Lytechinus pictus: one gene and its partner. The protein of the gene in region 1 interacts with the protein of each later gene in a biochemical or structural test. Links are inferred from orthologs where the notes say so. Each region holds a gene or a part of one and is shown in the gene's direction. Other genes may lie near its edges.

Evidence for each region. The genes of interacting proteins can lie anywhere in the genome.
Region 2: the proteins of general vesicular transport factor p115-like (region 1) and golgin subfamily A member 2-like form a complex in vitro, tested with the Homo sapiens proteins (2 studies listed by BioGRID). The link is inferred for Lytechinus pictus from reciprocal best matches to the Homo sapiens genes USO1 and GOLGA2.

What each region holds. Positions count from the first base shown.
Region 1 is NC_087262.1:22,092,113-22,100,154, reverse strand, and holds the start of general vesicular transport factor p115-like, read left to right. Parts: upstream 1-4,985; 5' UTR 4,986-5,077; coding exon 5,078-5,143; intron 5,144-6,816; coding exon 6,817-6,903; intron 6,904-7,481; coding exon 7,482-7,626; intron 7,627-8,042. Other genes in the region: very long chain fatty acid elongase 5-like, read right to left, coding at 284-719, 1,402-1,526, 1,951-2,094. UniProt on the Homo sapiens protein: General vesicular transport factor required for intercisternal transport in the Golgi stack; it is required for transcytotic fusion and/or subsequent binding of the vesicles to the target membrane.
Region 2 is NC_087259.1:22,002,546-22,010,290, forward strand, and holds the start of golgin subfamily A member 2-like, read left to right. Parts: upstream 1-4,634; 5' UTR 4,635-4,654; coding exon 4,655-4,702; intron 4,703-7,745. UniProt on the Homo sapiens protein: Peripheral membrane component of the cis-Golgi stack that acts as a membrane skeleton that maintains the structure of the Golgi apparatus, and as a vesicle thether that facilitates vesicle fusion to the Golgi membrane.

The sequences.
Region 1 (8,042 bases):
TTTTTAATTAATGAGTCCACTCTTCAAACAGTGGACTCATGAATGAAATAGCGTACTTAACCATGGCAACAGGCGTCAATTTGGCGCACTGTGACAAAAGCACTTATCAGCATTGGACATTTTTTTATAAACGTGGTAAAATAAGCATAATTTATACAGGAAATGTGCATTAACCATGGACTAAACCGTGGGTTTTCAAAATCACCTTTGTAAATTCGGGCCAATAACTTTGAGTTGATTTGGAATTGGTTTAACTATTTATCTTAGGTACAAATTAATCTCTCTACTCTCCTTTACGTTTACGTAAAAAGGCATTGTAATAGAAAGATGAGAACAAATAGAGCATACTAACACCGTAGAACATAGAATACACACAGAAACCATGATGGAGGTAGCCTATAGTATTATGAATCAAACCTATCAGGAACTGTGTGATCTGAAGCTCGGTGATGTGGCGCTTCCAGGTCGGAGCACCAGGCAGTGTCTTCTGGGCTGTGTAGCCGTAGTAGTAGTAGAGACAGACGTGGACGAACGAATTGATGGAGAGGCCGAAAGCAATTCCGGCCCAGGGAGAGTAGTGGTAAGCAAAGTCTGTGAGGAGGACCATGCTGGCGTGGTGGTAGACGTGAAGGAAAGAGATCTGACGACGCTTGTGGCGCAGGATCATGAACAACGTATCAAGGAGCTCAATGTTCTTGGTGCACCAGTACATGAAGTAACTGCAAGTTACAAGGCAAATATTCTCCATTAATACCATGGACCTCCTAGAAAAGACCTAATAAAGTCTTGCTTTGATCTAACGATCATCATTACCAGATTATTAAGTTTATCTTGGATGGAGAGGCTTGCGGTAACACAATGTATTAAAGTTAGTCCTGAAAAAGACTGCTGGTTTATCTTTGTGACTCCTGAGAAGAGCAAAGAGCTCTTGTGCTTGAAATGTCGAGAATATCAGTTCTTTTAAGAGCTATAACCGAAAGATAAATGAACAGTCTTTTTCAGGACTAACTTAAATGGTGTTACCGTAAACCTCTCAATCCAGTCTTACCACTATGCAAACCTTCAAAGCTCACATTAAGTTCATCTCAATGAAAACATTCAGCAAGGACATTTCAGCCAGCATATGCTGACCTACATATGGCAAGCCATATTTTACCACTTTATCCTTTTTCTTCATATATCAAGATTTAAATCATTGATATCAGGAAATTGAATAATTGATATAAATAAATCACTTTTCATTGTTAACAAAAGAGCAATTCTTTGTCAAGAAATAGGCTAAATAATAAAATGAACATTGTAATGAAGATCATGAGGTGATAATAAGAATAGGTTTTACATGTGTATAGTGTGGAGCAATTTTAAAATCTTGTTGCTGAATCATTTCAAACATTATGCTACCTGTATTCTAGTACATCATTTCCTTCTTTCCTGAAGATGGATCCGGACTTGACCATTCCAACGATGAATCCCAACAGAGTACAGCCACTGATAAAACTACAAGTATAGTTATACACTACCATGATCTATAAAACAAAAAAAATAAAACATCCGTATTTCTAACTTTGCATGTATGGGTTTCTGCATAAATAAAAGAAACAATGTAAGTTAAGAATTTCATAATATATAAAATTGACAAAAATATCTAGGAAGTATGTGAAGGCATCTTATAAGCCAAACTTCTAATAACAAAAAATAATGGAGTACATGATCATGATGATTACATTTAAAATATTTGTATAAATGTAAGTTCGAGTTCGACAAGTGCCACACTAGATGATCTGATATTTATCTGCATGGATTTACAGGATTTTTTTTACTGATTTTGAAAGTTTTCCTCCATTCCTGAAAGGGAAAAAAAATGATTAAGCCTATTTTGACGCAGGAAGGTGGAAAAAACAAAACAAGGTCATTCATGAACTTGATATAGGACAGTCAAACTGAACTTACTTGTCTGAGAGAGTATGGCTTGGTCATTCTTTGGTAGAGCGGTGAAAGAGCGATGAGGATGAGGTATATGATCATAACAGGGAATGACTGTAGGCCAACAAAGGTATTACCAACCTGGTAGAATCTTTCCGAGAGTATAGCCATCTTCCCTCCTGTTTGAAAAAAATAAGAGCTCATTACCATTAAATGGGTACTTGGCCAGGCTGAAAGTATATTTTATTTTCATAAATCTATAGGCTTGTCTATAGGCCTATATTTGTTGAAATCATATTATTTTTATCAGCATGGAGTTCCCTTTAACTGTATACAAAAGACTGCAGTCTCTGTATAATTTGTTGTTCTGCTGAGCTAATGTCTGGCTCCATATTCATTGGGAATATATTAGTATCAATTCAATTTCCCATAATAAGATGGCTATTTCTGTTTACCCTTTGAATACAAAATATTCAAACAGTAAATGGTATATCTTTGGATTTCAAAAGCATTATATTTTTGAAGCTTTTGATTATATCAGTGCCACAAAAAAAAAAGCCTCGCATATTATTTGATGTTGTTGGCATGCCTTCATATAGTACATGTTGTCATTTATTTGATAATTTGGAATCCACATATTTTTTCTTTAAGTGTAATTTAATGTACACTTTTGTGTACTACAAATGGGAGTGGAAATAAGAAACCAATGAATGTCAGGACTTATGTGAGCCACTGTCAAGTGAATGGTGTTTTCACAATATCTAACTTCTTCCATCATAGCGAATAACATTAGATCTGATTCTGTCAAATCTATCATTATGTTTCCCACGCTTTATGTCAGAATATATCTTATTTTTGCCAGGCTTAGCCTTATAATAGGCTTAACACGACATTAATAAGCATTTACGGCAAGGCTGAATGACATTTAGAGTCTACATACTATCGTCATGGGACATGCCAGTTGGCATAGTTCTGCTGCAAATTATGACTGGACAAAGCCATAATTGTATTCGTCAGCCTTAAAAGGCGCGTGCCTAACGTTAGTTAGGTCTACTTCACGTTCGATCCCCGCATTTCTTATATTACCATATGAAAGTCTATATGTGGGACTGGATTAAAATCATGTTTTCAAAAAATATGTTTAATTTGGATCTTGCAAATCAAATACCAAAACACTAACTAATTTCACATATTTTCCAACAGAGTGGATCAAATATTGACATCTCAGTAATATAAAATGATCTATAAATACAAAATAAATGGCACACTTACCCGTTTCAGCTATTTTTCTTGCAGAAATTTAGTTCTCAACTTCTCGTTTTCTGCTGCAAGCTATTTAGTCTTAGTTTGAAGAATAATTTAGTCATCATCATGATACACGATACACTATCCTTACTTGTTTATTATCACTCATAATAAAGCAAGTTTATAATTAACAAGGTCATAAATGAACCTTATTCCTTACTTAAATTCTAACTGCTTATAACCTTCTTGATTGCATGAAATTAATTAATAAAAAAGTGTCACTGACAATCAACAAAATACGTATGTGAATGCAGACTAATCATTTTGCTACCCTAGATCTCGTGTTCGGTACTTTTTTGTTAGGGTGGGCGTGGCATTTTCGGAGTCGAGTTTTGTTGGATTATTAAACGAGCAAAGGATGAACAAATATATTAACCTAACTAGATTAGAATAGATCAATAGAACTGTCTATTTTGCTATATTTTCCTAGAATTTTAAGTTTGATTTTCTAAATCGTAATTTTATATTCATTGTTTAATTTGTTTCATAAGAAAGTTGTGAGAAAGGGGGAAAAATGTTGCAAACAATTATTTCTGAATGTAGACGAAGGAAATGATTTACGGTATTTTTTTTTCGGTTAAAGACAAATTTGTCCCTTTCAAGTTGTTGTACAGGGGCCGGTGAACGGTTTTGAATGTGTGTGTGTGTGGAGGGGGATGACTGCAGGGCCCTGGAAACTATTTTTTATAACAGGGGGTTCTGATGTGCAGCAATTTTGAGACAATTTCAAGTGCCGCCCTGTTCCCGATATTCATTTTCAATTTGGTAAATTATGTTGATTTAATTTGATAAAACATACAAAGAAAAAATATTTTTTTTATATATACAGGGGCGGATCCAGGATTTTTCGAAAGGGGAAGTTAGCACATTAATTACGTTCACAAAAAAATTTGACAAGCAAAAAAAAAGATCTTCACTTTCAAGGGGGGGGGGGGCACACTTCTGTTTTAACGGCAGTGTATATATTTCCCTGTAATTGGCTTTGTGAACTAAGAAAACTTAGGGCCCATACATGTATATATTGTTTCCATGGTAGTGTGAATGTATTATTTTCCAGGGGGGAGGAGGGCAGGCGGAATGTTTAAAACACTCAGACCCTTTAGGCCTATACAAAAAGGAGGACAAGAGCGTAACGACTAAGCCGAATTGGAGGGATCGTTGCATGTTTTTTATGTAAATAAATCTGGAGCACAGTTTTGGTTTTTCTTTTTAAATTTGCAATAAAATGAGTTTTGAAAGAAGCAAAAATGATCATATAATCCCAGCTAAGTAAACTCCCACTGCGTATATGGCAAAGGAATTAAGTTTGTCTTAATTATGGTCACTTCGGCTGAATGCTCATCATAAAGATTATACTTGATTATATTACCAATCAACCAATTAATCAATCGATCGATCGATCAATCAATCAATCAATCAATCCATTTGTGTTCAAAGCATAGAGATATATTTCTATGGTCTAAAGAGATCCCCCGACTCGACTAGACTGTGAAGACCAATTTCTTTAGCCAGAGTAGTAAATTAAAAAAAAAAAACAAGTGCACATCTAGTTTCCAATAATGCATATAGCATTTCCATTTATTTGAAAGCAGGATAAAAGAGCATTGTAGATTAAATGCCTTGCTCATGGGCATAGGTACCGTGGCCGGGGATCGAACCCCGGACTTTCCATGTATAGCCTTAGACCACTTTCCATGTATAGCCTTAGACCACTCGGCCACGGCACCTCAACTAACTCTGTCTTTAGCGCAATACCGCCATCTACGTTTACAATTTGCACTTGTTTTGTGCTACGTGTTCCACACTTAATCCTTTCTTGACTCGCAAAATAACTGAATTTTCCAGGAAAATGAGCTTTTTCAGTCGGGTTTTGGGAGGAAACACTCCAGAAAATCAACAGTCAGGGGCAGATACGGTATGTTGAAATGAGTTAATCAATTTCAGCTCTCTATATCCATTTGTTTGGGCCGTAAAACATGCACATATTCACGAATGATATTTAGAAATTATGAGCCAGTCCCATGCGTTACAATTCCTGTCTGTAATATTAAAATGTCAAATACATGTAGCCTAGACTCTAATTGTTTAACACCTTATTTTCAACTGTTCACTTTTAGTTTGGATGTAGACCCAACTATAGTTTTTGTTTCTGTTTTGATTTAATACATGATGATGGATTTACCTTCATAAGGTCCATGTTTCTTAAAATCTTGTTCTTTGACTTTGGTCTTTGTTGCACTGCAGCTGCTTAACTAGGATTTTTGTCAAAGTTTGTGAAAAAAAATGAAGTTAACTAAGTCTTAGAGTAAAGTGCCCAATATCGGACACTTAATCATAATTGGACCCCCCAAAAAAAAATACAATTATTGCATCAAATAAAAATCATGTGTATTTCTGTAGTACAAATGTGGAATATTAATGTCATAAAAAATAGAATTGAAAAAAATATGGTGAGCGGAAATTATTTACTTATTACCAGAAGCTTGTTTTTTGCCAAATATCGGATGCAGTTTCCAAATGTTGGACACATAGAGTTGTGCACGGCGATCAATTTCAGCGATTTAAATCACGCTCTAAACCCCCAAATAATTGCTTGATTGTTGAGAGAATAACTTATTTCAGCTGTGCAAATGCCAATTTTAATTGTCACTGCACTATTAGAAATAGGTAAATAATAATTATTTACTTACCCGATGGACCTCTTTCGGCTCTAAACATCGGACGTCTTCGCTCAGCTGCGTTTTGAAAACGAGCATGCGCGCGTCAACAGCACGCATTTCCAATTTAATTGGTCGATATGTCCGATGTTTGGGAGAGTGCCATATTTGGAAGGGTGTCAAAATTCTCGTTGTGGGGAACCCCTGCGGCGGCCATTGCAGGTTTTTTGCGATAGATTGAACATGTGCAATCTCGGCGGCGATATTTCCAGTGAAAATCACTTCCCCCTTACAACCTTTCTGAGTCCATAATTAGCGAGGGTCATAAGAATCTTTGGAAGTCAAAATCATGGATTTTACCCCTGGATTTAACCCCTGGAATATTTATTTAAGCTTCAACCTGGATCTACTGTGTGCAATTCATAGCAGGTATATTAATGTATTACATACAAGTCCCCTACCATTGCAGGTCCCTTTAGTTGTGGGGATGGAGTTGAAGTCATTTTAGTTGGATATTTGGAACTGTCCGATATTTGGGGACTTTACTCTAACTTGAATTGCAGAGTTTGGCTTACATGTAGTAATCGGCCAATGTGTATTGCTTAGTTACTTTCCATTACAAAGGCCGAGATGGTGGCGTAAAAATACTCGTTCAAATTAGTTCATATGTGTTTACATGATTTCACATGCAAATTTGATTACATTAAAAGGGTTTAGCAAACACTTAGAATGTTAAATATTACAATGTCACAAAATGAACAATGTTGAATTGTGTAATGTAGACAAGACTTCCAGGGGCATCCCACTTTATATCTATCCAAACAGTACTCATTAAAAAATTCAAGATTATTTCTCATCTATGTGACTGTCCCTATATTTCTTCTTTAACTAAAGAAGTAATAGCATGAATATATCTCCTGTATAATTCTAGATTGCCAAGATATGTGATCGAGTGCAGTCTTCCACGCTCCTGGATGACAGACGAGATGCAGTCAGGGCTCTCAAAGCTCTCTCCAAGGTAAGACACCATGGTCTTAAATTTACTCCAAATAATAAATGTAAGTTTGTTCTAAATATCGGACAGCCACTTATAATATATTCTGAGAAGGATTGCCATTTAAAGAGTTATACGTGGCACAGATTTTTGTTACGGTGCCCTATTTAGCATTTTTGTAGCCATAATATTGATGCTTGCTTTTAGTTATAAAGCCTGATTATGATTAGGTATAATGTAAAAAAAAATGAGAGACAAATAGAAAAACAACAAAATGTTGTACACTAGTTTGTGAAGTGATATCAATTTGAATCAGCTAAAGTTGGGGAAAGTAATGGAAATATTTAAAATACTGATACTTTTGCCAACTTTTATGTGAAACTTAAAAACATTTCTTTACAAACATACTTTCCAATGTTAATGAAAGGAAGTTTGTTGAGAATATAAATCAATCTTTCTGAATTCCATGTACTGTACATGTATGTTGCTCTATCCACCATTTCTTATAAGTATTACTTTTTCTTGTTTGTTACAGTCTCATTTTTGTTTATAGTTATGTATTTAGGGAAATGATATTATTTTTCATCTGTTTACATTGACAGAAATATCGGCTAGAGGTCGGTACCCAAGCCATGGATATATTGGTGAATGTCTTGGAGACTGACCGGACCGATGCTGAGATCACTGGTTATGCTCTGGATACGCTCTTCAATCTTCTATCAGCACACACAGAGGAGGAGGAACAAAGTAAGATTTCATTAAATGCTCTGTCTTTAAAGTTTATCTACAACTTTGTTATTAATTTGATTTTGATGTTTTTTTAGGTAAGTGTTATCATTATTAACAGGACTGGGATGAAAAACTGTATATATATATATATATACTGATCTTGTCATTTAGTCAAAATATGTCTGAATCGATCGATCAATGAGTAAATAAAATGTGTTATTCGAACATTCAAATCTTTAAAAATATAGGGACTGATATTTCCATTTTGGCCATTTATTGTGTGTGTGATGTTATAAACATTAAACAAATTAAGAATTTTTTTTCAGGAATATTGTTATTTTCAAAGTAAAAGCCATTTGAACACTAACATTTATTCTCTTTTGTTAAAAGATGTATAGGGATATATTTCCTGACATTTCTGCCCTATTCCCTGC
Region 2 (7,745 bases), on another chromosome or scaffold:
TTTGAAGCTCAATATGGCACCCATTGAAAGGAGGTTCAAAATCACGCCCAAAACTGACATGAAAAGTGGAATTACCCACGCTAATGTATCCACGATGGCCATATAGGTATGGGCTTCTAAGCTTACTTTGTATCCAGATGAAGGTGTTCGAGAATTTTTTTATTTCATATAAACAGTTGAGAACGAAGAAGCTGGTCATAGATCACCAAGATTTTGCGTATATACTGAATCAATATGAAGACTAGATTAAGTTTATACATGTAGAGAAATTGAAAAAAAAATCAATGAAAAAAGGGGGAAAGGGTGGTCAGGCTCAACGCAGGTAAATCCCATACAAAAGAGGATAATAACGAAAGCAAATCATTGGCTGATGGGAAGCCATTCTTTTCATTTTGATCGCGCATAATTAGCACAGATGGTCACATGATCCCAAATGACCAATTACAGCATGTGCATGACTTTTTTTATGATCGACACGAAATATAATTCTGACCACTCCGCATCATCAACGTCATTACATCATAATCATCATCATCACCGCCGCCACGCCCTTGCCTGCATGTATTTTCGTTCGATGATCCATAAACCACGGTATAATTCGCAAGCTTTTGAAACGAATTCAAATCAAGCTTCAATGGATGATCCAAAGATTTTTTTTTATTTCATCTGCTCATTAATTAACTTTCCTTATATTTCAATTTATGTATTATTTATTCCAGCTAGGCAGATATCCATTAGCGATTGAATTATCTTTATGTTTTCAGGTATAGTACAACATATAAATTCGGCAAATAGAGAAGAAACCTCTTAAAATTAGGATGCAATTCTCCTCTAAACATTTTGCAAGATTTTTTTTTTTTTTTTTTTTTTTTTTGGGGGGGGGCTACCATTACGCCCCTGGATCTATAATGAGTCACGGATGTGAACTTAGTTTTTCCCTATATTATACGTATTTCTGGCCCTTATTCCCAGAGCTCATAAGTATTTGATTCATACTACAGCAGGTCTTGCGGGGGTCTTGGACCTGGTTTTGCTTTCCCGCCAAGTCTGCAAATTAGGTTGTAGGGCTTTATACTCAAGGGAGGTCGGGCATGGGGATGTGCACATTTTGAGAAGGTGGAACTGAGTACAGAATATTAGAACAGATACCACATCATAAAGGAACCTATTCCTGAACGATATTGTGGAGGTATAAGTATATAGATATTTCAAATAACCCACTAGCCTGGAAGAGGAATTGAGTACAGTTGTTTATAAAGTTTAAACAATAGTTGTTAGAGTGACGGGCTTAAACAACATGCTTGAAATTTTAAACAGCGTTTTTTTACAGTATATAGGCCTATACACGGTAAAAAAAATCATACAACGTTGTTTACTATATGAACCTTGCAGCAATTGTTTAAACAGTATAAACAAGTGTTTAAATCTTAAGCAACAAAGTTTAATTTTCAATATCTAATTTTCAATAAATTAAACATGATTGTTTAAACGGTTAAACAAATACTGTAAGGTTCATATAGTAAACAACGTTGTATAAAATCTTTAACAGCGTTTTTACTGTGTACACGACGACTATAAATACGCGCTAGCGATGAAAGTTACAAAGTATACCTCTCAATATAAACTTGTCAATGACATTAGATAGGCTAAGCTTGTTTAGTACAAAATGATATAGATATGGAAGAAACATGCGAATCAAATTATCATGATTATAGGGCCTAATAATCGGTCATGTTTTAATGGTCGATGTATAGGCCTAGGCCTAAATTATACACCCAGAACTGCATAAACGGATTATTCATGTTATTGTCACAATAGGCCTCATTTTACCAACAGCTACAAACTCCTTGACAATGTAATGCAACATGTATAAGAAATTATTATTAGTGTAATTCCAGGTTACTATAGGAGAAAGTCAAAGGTCATTTCAGATATGCAATTTAAATTTGATAATGATTCATGATTTGTTCCGATTAATTGAAAAAAAATGTTTTGTCATATTGTATGAGATGATTATCGGATAATACAATAAGTTTTTAATCAAAGATCATTTGATATTAATGAAATTAGGATTTAACTATATTTAGTAAACAGCAAGGGCGTAAATCCCAGGGGGATGGGGATACATCCCCCACTTTTCGGAGGGGGGGGGGGGTGGCATGTACAATCATCCCCCACTTTTCAAGATGGAAAAAATATTTTTTTTAATCATCAAATGGTTAATACTTCTGTTAACGTGTGGATTCATCTTTAAAGTGCTTAGATTGGCCTACTTAAAAAAATTGCAAAATTTCTCGCGCGGTCGCATGAATCATGGGAGTTTAGTTGTAATATTAAGTCCATTAATGAATATGTGATTCCAATTACCTTTGAATATGATTATAACTTATCATAACGATTCAAAATATATTTTAAATATACACTCTCGTGAATATGGGGCAGGGGCCGCGGAAGCGGGGGGGGGGGGGCTTCAGCCCCCCACTTTCTTCCAAAATCGTGTACAAAAACGTAAAAATTACAATTTTTATGATTGTGATTTTTTGCATGGTCAGCCCCCACTTTTAGCTCAGCCCCCCCCCCCACTTTGAAAACCGTTCCGCGGCCCCTGTGGGGGGGGGGGGGTGGGTCATCTGGTATCTTTGTGGAAGCGGGGGTGTTGTATTTGGCCTACCGTATTCTTCAAGTTAAGTGTACGATGAGTCACCGTACATCAATGCCGTTAACGAAACACTAATCTTTGCTCAAAATATCGAATGTTGCATCATCTCCATATAATCTTAAAGATTATTCAAAATCTTTCCTTTTTTCATATACAATGTCATTGTGATATTACCACTTTTTTAAGATTATATTGTGGCTTGTGATGGCCTATGATCATTTTATATGGCACCCTCATTCCCGATAATAATAATATAATAATAATAATATAGGGTATTTATATTGCGCATGCACATATCCACCTTGTTAGGTGCTCAAGGCGCTCCTATATTACCCGGCTAAGCTATCCGGCTAATCATGATCATATTTTTGTTTTCATTCTCATCTCACTTTAACCAGTGAGCAAATGAGTTTTCATAGAACAAAACTCGACTATTTAGTCCCTATTTGCTCTTTTTATATTTCTTGTTCACATTCTTCTAAAGTTTACGTTATTGATGATACTCTTATCATCATCATTTTAATCGACTGTAGCAACTTTTTAAGGCTCGCAAAGTACGCTCACCGCCGCAATTTCTCTCATAATTACACTCATTGAAAGACGATTTGGTTATCATTCTGTCTTCCAACTATGGAAAATCTGCTCGCTCGCTTCTCTCGCTCGTATTTGGATACTAACTGTAATCCAGTAGTTTCGTCACAACGAATACATTATAGCCATCGAAAAAAAAGACATCGTGATAATAGTCCTTCAAGTGAAAAAATTGTATTATCCATTAATTATCCAGTTATATACTATATACCCCTGTACCGTGAACCCAGTTGGGGCATCATTCTTTCTTCCACCTATTGAAAATTTGCTCAGTCGCTATGCTCACTTGCCGCATTATCCAATAATCACTCCTCATGAAAGACGATTTTGCCGTCATCATGTCTTTCAACTACTGAAAATTTGCCCGCTCGCTCGCATTTGCTGAACTGGACATGTAGTTCGATCAGTAGTAACACAATTCATTACAATTATATAGCCATTGAAAAAAAAATCCGGAAAGGCCTTTAATTGAAAGATTAAAGGAATATGTACACAGTTACTTAGCCCTATATAGGTGTGGGGGTGTCCCCCAAATTTTTAATTTTCTGGTCAATAAGATATTGCTTTCATGCCCCCCCCCCCCCCCATGCTCGGACCGGATTTATACGCCAGTACGTGGTAAACATTTTTTTTAAAGAAACAAATATATATTCACTGTAATGATTGCTGCCATATTGAATCGCATAAGGTGAGACTGGGTGCGATCTTGTTAACCACTGAGGGGGCGGGCGCAATTTTTAAAGGGTGTGCTGGCCAGGCGTGCTGGTTTGCAAAAAAAGAAGAACTTTAAGAAGAAGAACGTAAAAGAGAGAAAAGGAGTTTCACTCCAAAATGCAGGTCGGATTTTGTGAAATTTCTATTTTTAGCATACCAACATGATTTTCAGGGGGTGATGCATACGACAGCACCCCCAGATTTTTTTTTGGGGGGGGGTGCTCTTTTTAGTCTAGATCACAAGTCGCAGCACCCCCGCTTCCCAGGGCCATGCCCTCCTCCGTGCGTCATGCAGAAATTTATCACTTTTCCTTATCTTTTCCAATTCTCTCTTTAGCCTTTTATTTTTATTTTTCTACAAATCAATGAAGAGAATGAACACACATTATTAGGTGTCATGATAATGCGAAGTATACAAATTACTCAGTTGAACTCGAAAAATTGGTTAAATCCATCCCGAAATCCATGATTCGCAGTCATGTTTGGATCATCACAATTCAGATCAGTGCAGATTTTTTTTTTTTTTTTTTTTTGATGCGTTGGATCTTGCATACGTGTCTGCGAAAGGCCGCCTAAAGTGATGAAAAAATAGTTATTGTGTGCGAATGAATCGGTCATGCTACGCACATCTTTACTGTCCAATGACCTTTTTTCATTAATTTACACACTCAACCCTTCAGCACTGCAGATATGGCGGATATTTCTCGAGAAGAAAAGCTCGCAGCTGCGAGGAAAAAGGTAGTTTATATGCTTTTTCTACAATATATCATATCTTTTATGTATTATTCAATGTGTATATATATTGGCAGAAAACTTGTAGACTATTGTTTGCATCTTAATTTTTAAATTTTACGTGTATTTTCTGCTTTAATTTGTGGATGTTTTATTGATTTGTAGAAAGTGGTGAGTGGTCCCACTCATTCGTGTCAGTGTGTTGTTTTCATTTGGACAGCATATTGTAACTGACACAGTGAGCCAGACTGGTTTGGGTGATTCGCCGTTTTTTCGCCGTTTTTTCTCCCTTTTTTCTCCCTTTTTCCCAACAGAAAAACGGCTAGAAAACGGCTAAAAAACGGCGACAAAAAAAGTGTACCGACTATGGAAAGCTAACTGTATGCAACAATGATTTTTATCAGAATAAAATAGTGAATACCTCCCTTCGAGAAAACGGCTACAAAACGGCTAATAAAGGGCGAATACCTCCATTGCGGGAAACGGCTACAAAACGGCTAATAAATGGCGAATACCTTCCTTGTGGAAAACGGCTAATAAAGGGCGAATATCTCCCTTGTGGAAAACGGCTACAAAATGACTAATATAAGGGTGAATACCCCCATCGGTAAAAAAGCCTTCAAAACTGCTAATAAATGACGAAAGGCACAAAAAAGTAATAAAACTAGTAATAAATAGGACTTAACAAGTAAAAATCAGCAAATAATGTTGTACCACACAAGCTGGTGAGTGCATGTACTTGAGACAACTTGGAATAACATTCATACTACCGTAATGAATGGTAGTGGATAATACCGAACAATCTTCAGTTTTTTCAATCATATCAAACCTTTTCTTAAAATTCATCAAAATTCCACCATAAAGTAATCACAAATACCTACTAAAAATAAGAATTTTAAAATGGCTGAAATCGATCGGCCTATATCTGAAAAAAAAATTCTCAGCTTCCGATTTCGCCCCTCTTCGCGTGTGAAATCTTTTGTCACTTGTGGTTCGTATACCAAACACATGTTTTCTGCTGTCATAAGAGAATTAACAAAAATCTATAATTAATTCATTTTCACCGTATTTTGTTATGTTTAGAAAATTGATACTTCATAAATATGATTTATTTTCATCATTTTTTCTTTTGGAAAGATGCTGCAATGTGCTAAATGTATTAAATTATACTGTACTGTATTATTTTCTTTATCTTGCCACTTGTTACGATCGTTTGCGTTTGCGAAGTGGGAATGGCCGCACCCTTTCGAGAAAACCAGGATAGCTTTTCTTGAAAGGGTGGGATGAGGGAAGGGAGTCAAATAAACACACCTTCTCGGGACAACCAGGGGAGCTTTTCACGAAAGGCTGTGTTTAATAGTTTTCTGAGCCAGTTGTTTCTATGAAAATTATTCATCAAATAATAACAACAACAATATAGGCGATTGGTAGAAATGCACATATGGGGGGGGGGGGGCCTGTTACACCCATAAATGTGAAAATCGCTCACAAATGTAATAACACTTTACCCACAAATGTAACAACGCCCAAAAATGTAATAACACTTTACCCACAAATGTAATAATTTAACCCACAAATGTATTAATGCACTTTACCCACAAATGTTATAATTTTTGATCGCCCACAAATGTAATAATGACTTTACCCAAAAATGTAATAAATTTGAAGGGATTTGATCCGTTCTAAACTAAAATCTATAGTAATACGTTGATAAAGCACAAAAGTGCACAAAAGTCTTTTTCCAGACCCGGTTGTTTCAAAAAGTATAATAGTCCAAAGTCTTTTTTCCAGACCCAGTTGTTTCAGAAATTATAATATAAGTCTAGTCTTATTTCCAGAACCGGGTCTGGAAAAAATTATTTGTCCTTTTTATATCATAATTCTTAAAAAGAAAATTTCCTCCTTCTTTATACATTTACACACATAATATGTTTATCAAGAAAAAAAATAATTATGTTATCGTCATCATCATCACGGCCGCCATCAAAATCATTACCACCACCATCATTCTCGTCCTCTTCTTCCTCTTTATCCCCCTTCATTATCACCACTATCATTATTTAATTACATCACAAATACACTATCATCCTCGATTATCATTCCGTTTTAACAAACGCTGACTATTGTAGTAGGTCCGTGATTGGACAATGTGGTTTGGGGGATTCATCCGGGTTGAAGAAACACAACGAGAGATCACAAGTGATCATTGCGTAACTTAAATTGAAACAGATTCTTCTTATTGTTAGGTGTTCACTGCAATCTTCACACCTTCCATTGTTCACAAAACGTGCGAGACGGTGTAATTAATTGACCCCATTGAAGTCGCAACAGCTAGGGCATTCACTCCAAAGCTTCTGTTATACATTTTAAAAGTTATCTTTCCTATAAAACGAAGTAGCTCAAGTGCATTGGGGTCTTTAACACTATAAAACACAGTTTTGATCAATATACCAACGAGATCGAACCAGCTCATGACATCATGGAGGCTGATGTATGCCTCCCCAAGAATTAGAGGCCGTTCTCATTACGCTTTCTAAACTAGTTTACTGGAAACCGATTCAGGAAACCACTTTGGAAGATCGCTTTGCTAGCGTTCCCACTTGATCACACGAAAGTGGTTTTCAATATCACTTCACTTTTAAAAAGCGCTCTTGTTGCTATGGTAACGCTCTCAGTGGGGTGACACGTTTCGCGCGAAATTCGAAACCGCAGCATAGGCATTCTACACCTGTCGTGTGGAGTAGCGTGCTCAAAATGTGCGAAGATCGCTTCCCGAAGAACGGTTGTGTCCTCACTTACGCTAAAACCAGTTAAACGAGGCAAAGCGATCTTAAAAACTACATCGCGAGGTGGTTTTCCAAACTGGTTTGGAAGATCGCTTCCAAGACCGCTTTGACCGTTCTCACTACGCGTTAAACTAGTTTCCACTAAACTAGTTTCCAGTAAACTAGTTTTAGGAACGTAGTGAGAACAGCCTCTTAAAGTATATCGAAGTGGTTTGTTGGATACTACTTAGGCCTACATGACCAATGGCCCAGTCACATTTCCC